3 linked regions of the Bombyx mori genome follow. Each later gene encodes a partner of the first gene's protein in a complex. Links are inferred from orthologs where the notes say so. Each region holds a gene or a part of one and is shown in the gene's direction. Other genes may lie near its edges. The genes, in order: structural maintenance of chromosomes protein 5, E3 SUMO-protein ligase NSE2 and EP300-interacting inhibitor of differentiation 3.

Evidence for each region.
Region 2: structural maintenance of chromosomes protein 5 (region 1) and E3 SUMO-protein ligase NSE2 share a complex: the UniProt entries of both Homo sapiens proteins name them as parts of the SMC5-SMC6 complex. The link is inferred for Bombyx mori from reciprocal best matches to the Homo sapiens genes SMC5 and NSMCE2.
Region 3: structural maintenance of chromosomes protein 5 (region 1) and EP300-interacting inhibitor of differentiation 3 share a complex: the UniProt entries of both Homo sapiens proteins name them as parts of the SMC5-SMC6 complex. The link is inferred for Bombyx mori from reciprocal best matches to the Homo sapiens genes SMC5 and EID3.

What each region holds. Positions count from the first base shown.
Region 1 is NC_085134.1:7,478,217-7,481,870, forward strand, and holds part of structural maintenance of chromosomes protein 5, read left to right. Parts: intron 1-544; coding exon 545-692; intron 693-1,251; coding exon 1,252-1,393; intron 1,394-1,682; coding exon 1,683-1,888; intron 1,889-2,390; coding exon 2,391-2,554; intron 2,555-3,278; coding exon 3,279-3,408; intron 3,409-3,654. UniProt on the Homo sapiens protein: Core component of the SMC5-SMC6 complex, a complex involved in repair of DNA double-strand breaks by homologous recombination.
Region 2 is NC_085128.1:13,903,137-13,907,306, reverse strand, and holds E3 SUMO-protein ligase NSE2, read left to right. Parts: upstream 1-1,269; 5' UTR 1,270-2,002; coding exon 2,003-2,194; intron 2,195-2,522; coding exon 2,523-2,682; intron 2,683-3,318; coding exon 3,319-3,374; intron 3,375-3,655; coding exon 3,656-3,776; intron 3,777-3,935; coding exon 3,936-4,042; 3' UTR 4,043-4,086; downstream 4,087-4,170. UniProt on the Homo sapiens protein: E3 SUMO-protein ligase component of the SMC5-SMC6 complex, a complex involved in DNA double-strand break repair by homologous recombination. Is not be required for the stability of the complex.
Region 3 is NC_085130.1:15,844,723-15,849,162, reverse strand, and holds the start of EP300-interacting inhibitor of differentiation 3, read left to right. Parts: upstream 1-1,517; 5' UTR 1,518-1,744; coding exon 1,745-1,820; intron 1,821-2,389; coding exon 2,390-2,500; intron 2,501-3,340; coding exon 3,341-3,459; intron 3,460-4,440. UniProt on the Homo sapiens protein: Tissue-specific component of the SMC5-SMC6 complex, a complex involved in repair of DNA double-strand breaks by homologous recombination.

The sequences.
Region 1 (3,654 bases):
GTTCACTAGACACATGGTCCATGGTCTAGAACTGAGGCGAGAAAGTCACTAAATCAACACAAACCACATTCCTTTTTTTTCTCTTATCTTTAAGATATGAAACTTGGAGAAAATTTAAAAACAAAAGTTCGTAAGAAAATTATTTTGTATGCTATGTGATACAGTTTCCATAATGTGGCAGCTGCTATATATAACAGCTAAGGTTTGAAACTTATGAAACAAGGGAGGTTGAGGAACTCAGTGTGCGTAGTGCTAGATTTTTAATGTTTTCGATAGTGTAAAAGCTAACTCAAAATTGTATGGAGTTGGAACGTTTGCAGCTACCAAACGTTTCTGACATATCAAATACTGTTGCAGTTCAGTTTTGGTCACATATGAGTAAGGTGTGTTATTCATCTAAAAACTAAATAATAATAATAACTAGCTTGTGAACTGACCATATAACTACAGTAAGAATACGTCAAATTAAACCATAAAAAATGGTAATTATGGCTTTGCTGAAGTTTTTACAAAAGCAACTTATCCGGGCCTTGACATGTTTCAGAGAAAATAGCAAGTGAGAAAGCAAGAGCGCTGAGGGAACGTATAAGCGAGATCCAATCACAAATCCACAGCATTCAGAGGAGCAAAGCCAGGAAGGAGATGGAATATGAACAGCAGACTCTACCCAACCTTAGGATATTGAAAAACAAGTGAGCTTATTTAGTTTGCAATGAAAGTTCTAGCCGACCGCCGCGAGACGGGGCCTGGCTGACCTGTGTACATAATAACAACAAAACGATGATGAAATGCGTACATAATATTGTTTCGCGCTGGGGTTCGGGGTTAATAAAAGCTCTACCAAAGTACAACTTAAAACTGTATTTATCACTTAAAACACTCACAAAGCACTTTAAAATTCTTAATTCACTTCTTCCGCTTCGCTTCAGGTGATCCGTTAGCTGTTTCGCATTGAGTAGTTCTGATTATTAAGTGACTGACTGCGTGCCATCTCTGCAACGCTTTTATAGTCGATACGACATCCCTAGATTTATCGAGAACATTCTGGGCAAGTCGAGTAGCTTCGATGTGTGTTTCCACTATCTGACAACAGATGGCATTGTACTTCTCGAGCTTTCTCAGCGTTACTAGTGCTTTTGATGTTCGTTTCGGCTATTCGGCGATAGATGCCTTTACTCTTACCGGCGTAATAATATGTGTTATATATGTTAATTTTGGACTTTCGTCGTTACCCGTTGTCCTGAATTTCAGATTAAGGAAATTAGAAGACGTCGAGACGAAGCGTTTAGAGACTTTGAAAGAATACAGCGAGGACACCTACAAGGCGCTGGAATGGCTCAACGAGAACAAGGAGTTGTTCCATGACCAGGTCTACGGGCCCATGATGCTCGAGGTAATGGAAATACTTCTCCAAATACTGGACTGAAATTTACTTGTGGTAGGACCTCTTGTGAGTCCGCACTGTTAGGTACCGCCACTCCGCCTATTTCTGCCATGAAGTAGTAATGCGTTTCGGTTTGAAGGGTGGGTCAGCTGTTGTAATTATAGACCTTAGAACTTATATTTCAAGGTGGGTAGCGCATTTACGTTGTAGCTGTATAAGGCCTCCAGTAACCACTTAACACCAGGTGGGCCGTATGCTCGTATGCCTACAAGGAAATAACGAAATCGTTTTCCGTCAGCTGAAATTCACGCATCCGGAGACCGCCCGCTACCTCGAGTCGACGGTCTCCAGCAAGGACCTGGTCGCCTTCACGTTCCAGTCCAGCCGCGACATGAACCTCTTCCTGCAGAGGGTCCGCGAGGAGCTGCAGCTGCGCGCCGTCAGCGCCCTCTGCAGCCGCGCCGGGGACTTCAGCGCGCCCCACCACGACATCAGGGAACTCAGGTACGGCTAAGGACCAGTCCTTTTTTTTATTGCCTACATGTGTGGACGAGCTTACAGCCCATCTGGTGTTAAGTGGGTGTTGGAGCCCATAGACATTGTACAAGGTAAATGCGCTACCCACATTGAGATATAAGTTCTAACTAAACTAAGACCTTAGAACTCATCTCAAGGTGGGTGGCACATTTATGTTTCGCGATTCCGATCCGGTAGTAGATTCATTCGCGAAGCAGCTGCTCTTGAGTTGTTAGATCTCCTTCGGAGGCGCTCGGGCAGCTGTTAGCAAATCCCACTCCCCCTGGCTGAGCCTTTGCTCGCCCACCTGTTCTGGTGAAACTGGAAAGGCCGCCGGGTCACCAAAAAAATGTCTATGGGCTCCAGTGACCACTTAACATCAGTTAGGCTATGAGCTCGTCCACCCATCTAAACAATAAAACCTCGGAGGATATTAAACGTCCCTTTGAAGGTTTTAGTTCGCGTTCTGTAGTGAGTGGTTACGTTGCAGCTACCTCGGGTTCCAGAGGACCTTGGTGGAGGGCATAGCGGCGCCGGGCCCGGTGCTGCGGTACCTGTGCGAGCAGTACCAAGTCCACAGGATCCCCATCGGGAACGACCACACGTACCACCACAGCGAGAACGTGCCGGATCACGTCACGCTGTTTTTTACAAGTGAGTTTTTTTTTAATACGCTTTTATTAGATTCAGACGTATGTATGTTTGTATGTAACGGAATCTTTGAATATTATTTTGAGACTCTTCCAAAACGTCGGATTAACTCGAGATTTGGTATACTTGATAAGGATCGATGACAATTCAATTTTTAAAAAAAAATATTGAAAAAATTGAAATTCAACTAAAAAATGAAAATAGTGTAAGAAAAAATGATTTTATTGTAAAAAAAACCGTGGAGTGCATGGTATCAGTAGTTATAAATACTTTATGCACAGATATGAGTAGAAAGGTTATTTTGATAATATCCTGAGAAACACCCCACGCTTTATATTATATATCGTGATTTCTAATTATATTTACACATATGAATAAAATTGGAGTGTTTGTTTGTAATATTGAAATAACCGCTTTTTACTACATGCATATAAATATATATACGGTACATACACCAAAATAGTATTTTTACAATTTTTGTCTGTCTGTCTGTCTGTTCCGGCTAATCTCTGGAACGGCTGGACCGATTTTGACGAGACTTTCACTGACGTTGTTGTGTAACTTAGGCTACTTTTTTTAGACTGACTTCGCCCCGCGGCTTCACCCGCGGTACGACAATAGCCCCGGGTAACATCGCGGGACTCAACTATCTATAATAAACTTTAATGTTTCCGAAGCGAAGCAAGGGCGGGTCGCTAGTGTATATATATATATATACGTGTTGCAGCGCGGCACCGGTTCAGCGTGCGCGTGTCGCAGTACAGCGGCGCGCGCGCCAGCACGGTGGGCGAGGTGCGGCCGCCGCGCCTGCTTGCCAACGCGCGCGACGCCGACCTCATCCGCACCTGCGCGCTACAGTCAGTGCACAACATATATAGCCTTCTTTATTTTCCTACCTAATCTGATGGCCTTAAGTGACTATTTCAACATAACCTTTAACTCTCTATTCCAATTACAAAGTCCCTTTTAACACTTCTTATTACTGATGATAGGACCTCTTGTGAGTCCGCACCACCACCCTGCCGTGAAGCAGTAATGCGTTTCGGTTTGAAGGGCGGGGTAGCCGTTGTAACTATACTTGAAACCTTAGAACTTATATCTCA
Region 2 (4,170 bases), on another chromosome or scaffold:
GCACTTAACATATAATAGTTGAGTAGGAAATAAATACCTTTATGGAGACTTATTTACAACGATCATATTTGAGAAATCAGTAAAATGTTTTAAAGTGATGCGTATATTTATGTATCTTATTATCCAAGCAAATATACAATTTGGTTAAACTTTCTTTTATGGTCCGTCGATTTTTGGGTCGGGGTGGGAGGGGGGTAAGGGTTTACCCCTGCACCATTCCCACCCCGCGGAACCCCATGGTTATGAAGATATTCACGGTTAATGTTTTGAGGTTAGAATAGCACTATTTAGTCAAAATAGGGTTAAAATTTAGATGAGGGTCCATTAATTTTTGAGTCGGGAGGGAGGGAAGTAAGGCCTAACCCCTGCACCATCCCCACTCCGCGGAACTCCATGGTTATGAAGATATCCACGGTTAATGTTTTGAGGTTAAAAATAGCACTATTTAGTCAACATAGAGTTAAAATTTCAATTATGGTCCATTATTTTTGATTCGAGGAAGGAGGGGTGTAGAGCTTACTACTGCGCCGTCACCAAGCCGCAGATCCCCATGGTTAATTTTTTTGATAAAAATTGCATTATTTAGTCAAACTCGAAGGGAGCTTAAGTTTGAATCCGTCTTATCTCGGGCGCTGCGGGAAGAGCAATCCTTCCGCCCTTGCGTGCCGAAGCACGGTCACTCGTGCTCTGCTCCGCACTGTTTCCGTGCTCCGTCACAGCAGGCGAGGACTGCTCTCCCTCCGCGCCTCCGGTATTTTTAAAAACACTCTAGGGGTAGGGCAGACAAGACCAAGTGGAAAGTCGGGTGCTCTGATTCGGTTTTCGATATTTTTCGAATATTTATGCAATTTTATTACCAAAACACGAGCAATTTTACTATTTTTTATTTAATAGTAATAAATAAAAAATTGTAAAAAAAAATATTTAATAAAAATAATAAAAAAATTATTTAATTATAATATGTATTTAAAAATATATTTTATTACAGACAGATAAAAAGACGCTATAAAAAAATGCGTCATTTCACGTTCCGTTCCACAGTGTAAACAAAATTTTGTTACTTTTTGTGTAAAAACGTCAATATAATTGCTTCTTACAGCAACAATTGCTGTGCACACTAATTATAAACAAATTTACTATGTGAATATATTAAAATAATAAAATAAAAATAAGATAATAATATATTTCGGTAAAAACATGACATCAAATTTTATAAAATACACGTTTACCGTGAACGGAACGTAAAACGTCAACTATGACTTGACGATTTTTCTAATTTATATGGAAACTTTAAAAATTGTTAACTCGTAAACCGTACTTCTACCGTCTTCGCAACTTAAAATTTTGCAAAAAGTTTTTTATTTAGGAGCACTATATACAAAAAAATTGTGAACTTCGAAATCGACGGACCACAAAGGAAAGCTTAGCCTAAATTAATTACAATCTGAGGTAGGCAAAGAATCTGTACTACCTGTTGGTGGGATATTGCCTCCGGACCCGGCAGACTCCGAACATGTTCAGTGTATATAATCTCTGCTCCGAACTACTGGGGTATCTCGATACACTAGCGGCACCGCCTCGGCGGCCTTATTGGCAACCGTACTCAGGTGATTAGTGTTTCAGAACCTTTATTTCGCCTCGAAGACTCCGTTGGACGGGAGTCCTTGGGGTAAGGTGCGTCTGGTTGCAGTGTTAACGCGGTAACCTCATGACCTGGCCCTGGTTCTGACCTCGAAGGGGATAAGACGCTTGGAAGAAAGTGTTGGGGAGTCGCTTAGTGGGTAGGGCCCTAAATACCATCATTGGGCCCGAGCCCACTCACACAAACAAGCCTCTTTCAATTTCCGAACGATAATATGGCTAACAAAAAAAATCATGAATTTGAAATTAGAATACAAATAGTGTATGTGCTATGCTTCCTTTGCCTAGGCAATCCCTAATAAAGAAAAAAGCGTATTCTTTCATAAAATTTTATTGTTATGACATTTGAAAATTTGAAATTATGGCTGATATAGACATTCGAGATCTGAGAAAGCAGTGTATTCAAAGCTTAATCTCGACTGCGGAAAATGTCGCTAAATATTTGCAAGAGGACAAGGAAGACAATTATGAAAAACTTAAGATGTACATGGAAAACTACTGCTTATTGGAAATAGAACAAGAAGTTGCTGAGCAGGTTTTAGAGGCAGCAAAGGTTTGTTGAAAAAGTACGATTTTATCGTTTTCAATTTAAGTAAATTCTATGTAACAACAAAGCTAATAATAAAAAAAAAAACTAGTTGTGTGTAATATATACATAATATTTCAAAATATTCAACACGTTTGCAACATTTTTTCTGAAACAGAACATAGTATAACATAGAACAGCATAGCGCAATTAATTCGTTTGTACATATAAATAACGATAATGTTTTTAGCGAATCATTATTACTTCATTAGCGGAAAAACATAGGGCAATCTTTTACATTTTTTATAAAATACTAAGAAATTAAGAATCTAAAAATTCTTCGTTTAAATTCTAGGCAGATACTAACATATCAAACATAAATACACTCCAAGAAAGATTCGAGGATGGCCTGAAAACTCTTTCACAGAACAGAATTAATCCTAACAGCCATAGATACATGCAAGAATTAAAGACTAGATATGAAAGTGGATTACAAAGTGTATCTTCATCAGGACGTGAGTATTGGATCTAAATATAGTTTAATATGATATTACTGGGTAACCAACTATTCAGTATTATGAGTAGTGAAACTCCATTCAACTTTCAAACAATACCAAAATATGAAAATAAACTACCAATCAGTATTGACATGAATTGAATTCTGTTTTTCTTAAATGGAAGTTCATCTTTATAATAGAATGAGTAGGTAATTAATTTCCATTTTTTATTTGTAACTAGGGAATTGTTACTACTATAAGATTATTTATAAATATATTGTAATTCAGGATAGGCTTAAAACAACTATTTCCTTAACACAAACAAATAATTGTTTTTTTATCTCGCCATTGTAGGCATATGGGCCATGGTTACCATCACTCATGATCGTAAGCAATACCAGGGGCACAGCCAAGATACTGCCAAGCTGCAACTGCTGAATACTCTATGCACACATCATTTGAGAGGGATATGACATAAGCACTCAGGAATGCTGAAGAATGCTGCGAAATCGGGGACTTGCTGCATTGACTGACTTTAATGTTAATATTATTTTTTATTTCTTTCTTTTGATAATCAGCTCTGCTAACTTTCTGAATATATTCAGGAAAAAATTGCACCTTGCCAATGTGTAAAATTAATATAAAACACTTTAGTTACAGAAAACCTGAATGAATCTGATATAGCTATTGTCCAAACAAATGAGCAGTTTGTAAGTATTATTCCAATATAATTGTATTATTTTAATAGGTATAATTTGATGATATTGATTTGTAAAGAAATAAATAACCTGTATATACACTCACCTATATAACAACCATAAAGCTTGTACAGTAATTACTCAAAGTTCATTCAGATGTGAAAAATATCTCAGAAAATGAGATTCTCGAACCTCTATAAAAGCTTCTTTTAGTCTATCTGAAACTTCAGTTTTATTTTTAATATGTAAAAGTTTCCACTAGATTTTAAAATTTTAAAATTTTCGATTTTCAGCTAGATCCAATTACCAAAAAACATATATCAGATCCAGTGAAGAATACAATGTGTGGCCATGTGTATGAAAGAGAGACTATTTTGAATCTCATAAGAAGGAAGCATAGAATCAGATGTCCAGGTAATTCTTCATTTGTTATAATTATCTCATCAGTCTAGTGATCGGTGATTCGAAATATTGTATTCTACAGTTCAGGTTCAGTCGTTGATTAGGTGATTGAAAATAAACTTACTTTTGCTTACAACCACCACTATTTAATTTTACAATTTTACTTTGCAGTTGCGGGATGTGCCAATCCAGAAAGCATTCAAGAAAACCATCTATTGGAAGATGAAGAATTGAGATTTAGATTATCATTGTCGCAACACTCGACCATGATACATTAAGTTCATTTAATAATATAATAAATGTGAATTGACAAAAAAGGGTATTTGTTTATTTTATTTGGTTGTTTATTATCAGGAAATTAAAATGAAATACATTTAAGATAAATTTATTTCACGAAAACATACAG
Region 3 (4,440 bases), on another chromosome or scaffold:
AGAACACATTTTTGCTTCGTAGTAACAGGCAAAGCGATGGTAAATACTTAAAGCTTCAATGTCATAATCACACAATATTGATGGACCTGGACGAATAGTACCTTTTTTTTTTTAGAATTTCGGATAACGATCTATTTGATAAACGGTAGGTATCTATATTATTAAAACAAATCGCACCTTTAGAATTTAAGTAGCTTAATTAAAAATGAGTTTTATACTTCGAACGCCTTATAAACATGTATTCTATCGATTTATAAAATTAAACAGTCTGTTTTAGTCCAGAATAATAAGACAAAGTAACCCTTCCGTCGCTTTTAAGTCAAGCGCATACCTTCAAATATTGAAATCTTCTTTCTTCTTCCATTACATTAAATTGGAGTTTACAAAAAAACGATAATTTTGGATTAAACATTTCAATGATCTAAGGGCGATATGTATATACCTAATTGTAGGAATCGAATAATTGAAACTGTTTCTAAAGGATTTCTGTGTAAGGAGTTTGGAATGAACATCGATTAAAAAAAAGTTGAAAAAGTGTACCCAAGTGTAAACAGCAAACTACCGAACCGAAACCAATATAGCGCTTTAGGTAGAAAATGGAAATTATATGTATATAGCAATTTTAAGCAGAGTAAAGTGAGCTGGGCTAAAAATTTTATATTTTTCGTGACTTGTGTAGTTAGATAAAAATTGTGCAGTATTTAAAATTTCACTTCAATATTTTTATCACTATTTACGTAGGAAGTGTTTCTTTCCTTAATAATATTAATAATAATCCTACTATAATAATTATTCATAATTTATGACGCTGTTTTTAATCGATCCACTTGCTACTACGGCGCTATCTCAATTAGCTTCCGTTCAGCGGACACTTTTTAATACTGGGATGGTGTACTTTACATCTACCCTCCACAAAATGTTATAGCTGAAGATTTTTACAAACTCAATCTTGGCAACAAATAATCACCCAAGAAACCAATTGTTCTCCCGCCAAAAAGTAGATTAATCTTGTCAACTGCGAAAACGAACCATGGAGGCATGGACTCTTAAATTAATATATTAATTATGCCATGGACTGTATTTGAATTTGAAAGAACTTTTTGGCGGGAACGCGAGGAGTGAAGTTGTGTGTTGTTTTATTTTCTCTATTTAGTGTTTCTTCGGGTTTAAATGTGTAATAGCGGTGGTTTATTAACTGTTTAATATCTGTGAAAGTGCACAAATGTGGGAAAATGAAACAAACCCATTGGACGTAGCTTCTCAGAATCCTCCAAAAAGTCCACTGAAAAATCCTCGGTAAATGACCACCATTTTACCCATTATTCATTAATTACACCATCCCATGCCATCTCATCTCATTTCATTTCATTCCAGTTCATTAATGTCTCAAATTAATCATTTTCATTTATTTCATTTAATTTCACTCTATATTAGCATTTTTATAAAATTAAGAATATAAAATAAAATATGACATGACCTAAAGGTCCTAGTTACCAGGTCATAAAATCCCAACAAATGAATTTGAAAGTTGAATGTTGAAGTTATTCTATTGTTTTAAACAATCACGAATTTAAAAAGTATTAATTGTACATTACATACTACCTTCGCTCAAAGTAATATTATTCTCATTCTGTGCATACGACGTTATTGAATCAGTAACCTAAGCTTATTAACTGCAATTCATATCTACCCCTAAATAATTATAAATAAAGTAGGTACATTTTCTTTAATAAAGTTCGTAATAATGAGTACCGCGGAATTAAACTCATCTCAGCGGAAAAGCAAGTACATTAGTATGTACGAAACTGTAACTGCTCTAGGTAAGATACGAATATTTATTTTACAAATAACCTCGGCAAGTGTACAAGTAAGTGTTACATTTAGTGCCGAACTTCTATAGAATTGTGGGCTTTAAAAACTTTTTGGGACCTGGGTATTAAATAAAACTGTAAATAACACACACTAAATATTCATAATCGCTTCCTCAAAATAAGTAATGAAGCAGGGAGATAATTATCTTACAGTAATGTACAGACTGGACAATCCAACCTGTACATTTATATATTTGAAAATCGAAAGCTAAGGGAATACGCCTGCCCTCAGAATTTTGTGATAATTTATTAATTACCTAATAAATATTTTTAATTTAATATTTCTGTCCTTTGGAATGTTTTATAGCCTTCTTCAGCATACCACGCAAGATTTAACTTCAAATCATCTTTTTTCTGCTACTAATTCTAATCCACAGGGAACCAGACTGATGTCATACCAACATGGCTGATCTGAAACTCTTTTAAAGATTACAATATTTCATAATTAGCATTGCAGTTTTTTTTCAGATATATAATAATATACCTTAACTTAAAATCTTTTATTTATGTTCAAACAGAAGATCAAAATGCGAGCAATCAAGAATGTCTAGATGTTACACACAAAGTTGTGAAAGAGGCAAAGCAACTGGTCCAGGAAGGAGGTGTTGACCATCGCAGCAAACATCCTGGTATGATATGTTCAATATTTAATTTTCTAAGATGTATCGAGTGGTACACATGCCTATTTTTGTGTCTTCACATTCCCGATCCTGTGGACAGATTCCCGATTCTGCAGACATGGAAAGCAGTCGACGTCGCCCCAAACACGTCATTTCGGATCGTCCCGATCCACTAATGGTGCTTCTAGGTACCTCAAGCACCGGTCATCACTCTCGTCGAACTCGTCGCTTGTGACGAAGGGCTCGACGAGTAAATTAACCCTCAGACACAGCCCACGGAGTTTCTTGCCGGATCTTCTCAGTGGGTTGCGTTTCTCATTCGGTGGTAGATTCTGCGAAGCACGATACTTGCTAGGGTTCGTGTTAGCAACGTCATCAGGTTTGAGCCCCGTGAGCTCACCTACTAGTTAAAGCTACGCTGATATAGCCTCTCAAGGCTCTCAGCTTAGGTAGGAAAAAAAAATGTGTGTCTGCCGGGATCTATAGACTGGGACAAAGTGCAGTGCTCTTAAGATGTCTCTGCATCCTATAAGCAAACTCCTATATGTCAGTATATCTACTCATGTTAATGAAGCCATGACATTAGATCTTTTTAGCACATTTCATTGATAACTCACTAAGTTTTAAAGGAGATAAAATCAGTTAAATTTGATAAGTTATAAACTGTATATTAATACACTATACTGAGACTAATTATGTCTGACATAAATCAAGCGGGACTTGTGTCCTGTGAGATTACAATCAAAATTAACTTACCTAGTACAACTCGAGTAGTGAAAGTAAGAAAGATCAACAAAATTCTGCAAGCTGCTCAGTTTCCAGAATAGTTCTGAGTCTATTATTCTGCAGGTGAGGGATTGCTGGACGCTCGGGTCCTCCACGCATCTTCGAACCTAGCGAAGATGTGCCTCGAGACAGTTGATGTGAACATGCATTTATATGACAAGAACCAATTAGCACAGCACATTGTGAGTTAAATATTAAGTTAAATTTATATGACAGTATTTTCTAGTAATTCAAGATATTGTACATTCTACATTTTTTATTTATTTATTGCTTAGATGGGTGTACGAGCTCACAGCCCACCTGGCGTAAAGTGGTTACTGGAGCTCGTAGACATCTATAACGTAAATACGCCACCCACCTTGAGATATAAGTTCTAAGGTCTCAAGTATAGTTACAAAGGCTCAGGCAACCTTCAAACCGAAACGGATTACTGCTTCACGGCAGAAATGGGCAGGGTGGCGGTACCTACCCACGCGGACTTTTAAGAGGTCCTACCACCAGTAATTACGCAAATTATAATTTTGCGGGTTTGATTTTTATTACACGATGTTATTTCTTCACCGTCACATTTCTATAGCATTAATAGTGTTAAATTAAGTAGAAGGGAACTGTTTCTGAAGCCAAAAAGGGAATAACAGCCTAAGCATTTTACTCAACTTTAATTAATGTATATTCTTTTAAACGGAAATCAAAACAAATACACCTGCTTTGCGTTGCCTTGTTACAAAATTATTAAAAGAATATTAGCTAACCTTCAGTCTCTTGGTTTGTAATATATGGCTCCCTAAACAAAGATTTATCAGCATTATCTAAGCCTTAACATTTGCAAGCCAAGCGGCTTCAATATATTATAACACTCCAGACAAATCTTTGGTTAGCTGTCTAATGCTGTTTCTAATAGCCAATGATGACTAGGATGTATTTGATATTTAATCTATTGAAGTAAATGATGAAACTACATAATTAAATCCATAAAAAATACTACCTCTATCCCCCCTTTCTCCTTGTCTTCATATTGTAATAATACAATTCAAGTTTAGAACCGTCTGTATCGGTAGCCAAGATATTTGACAGATGCCTGATTCTTGCTTACGACACTTTCAAGATAAGCTTGCATATATTATACAACTTCCGAACAACAATACAGTGAACCCGCTGTAAAT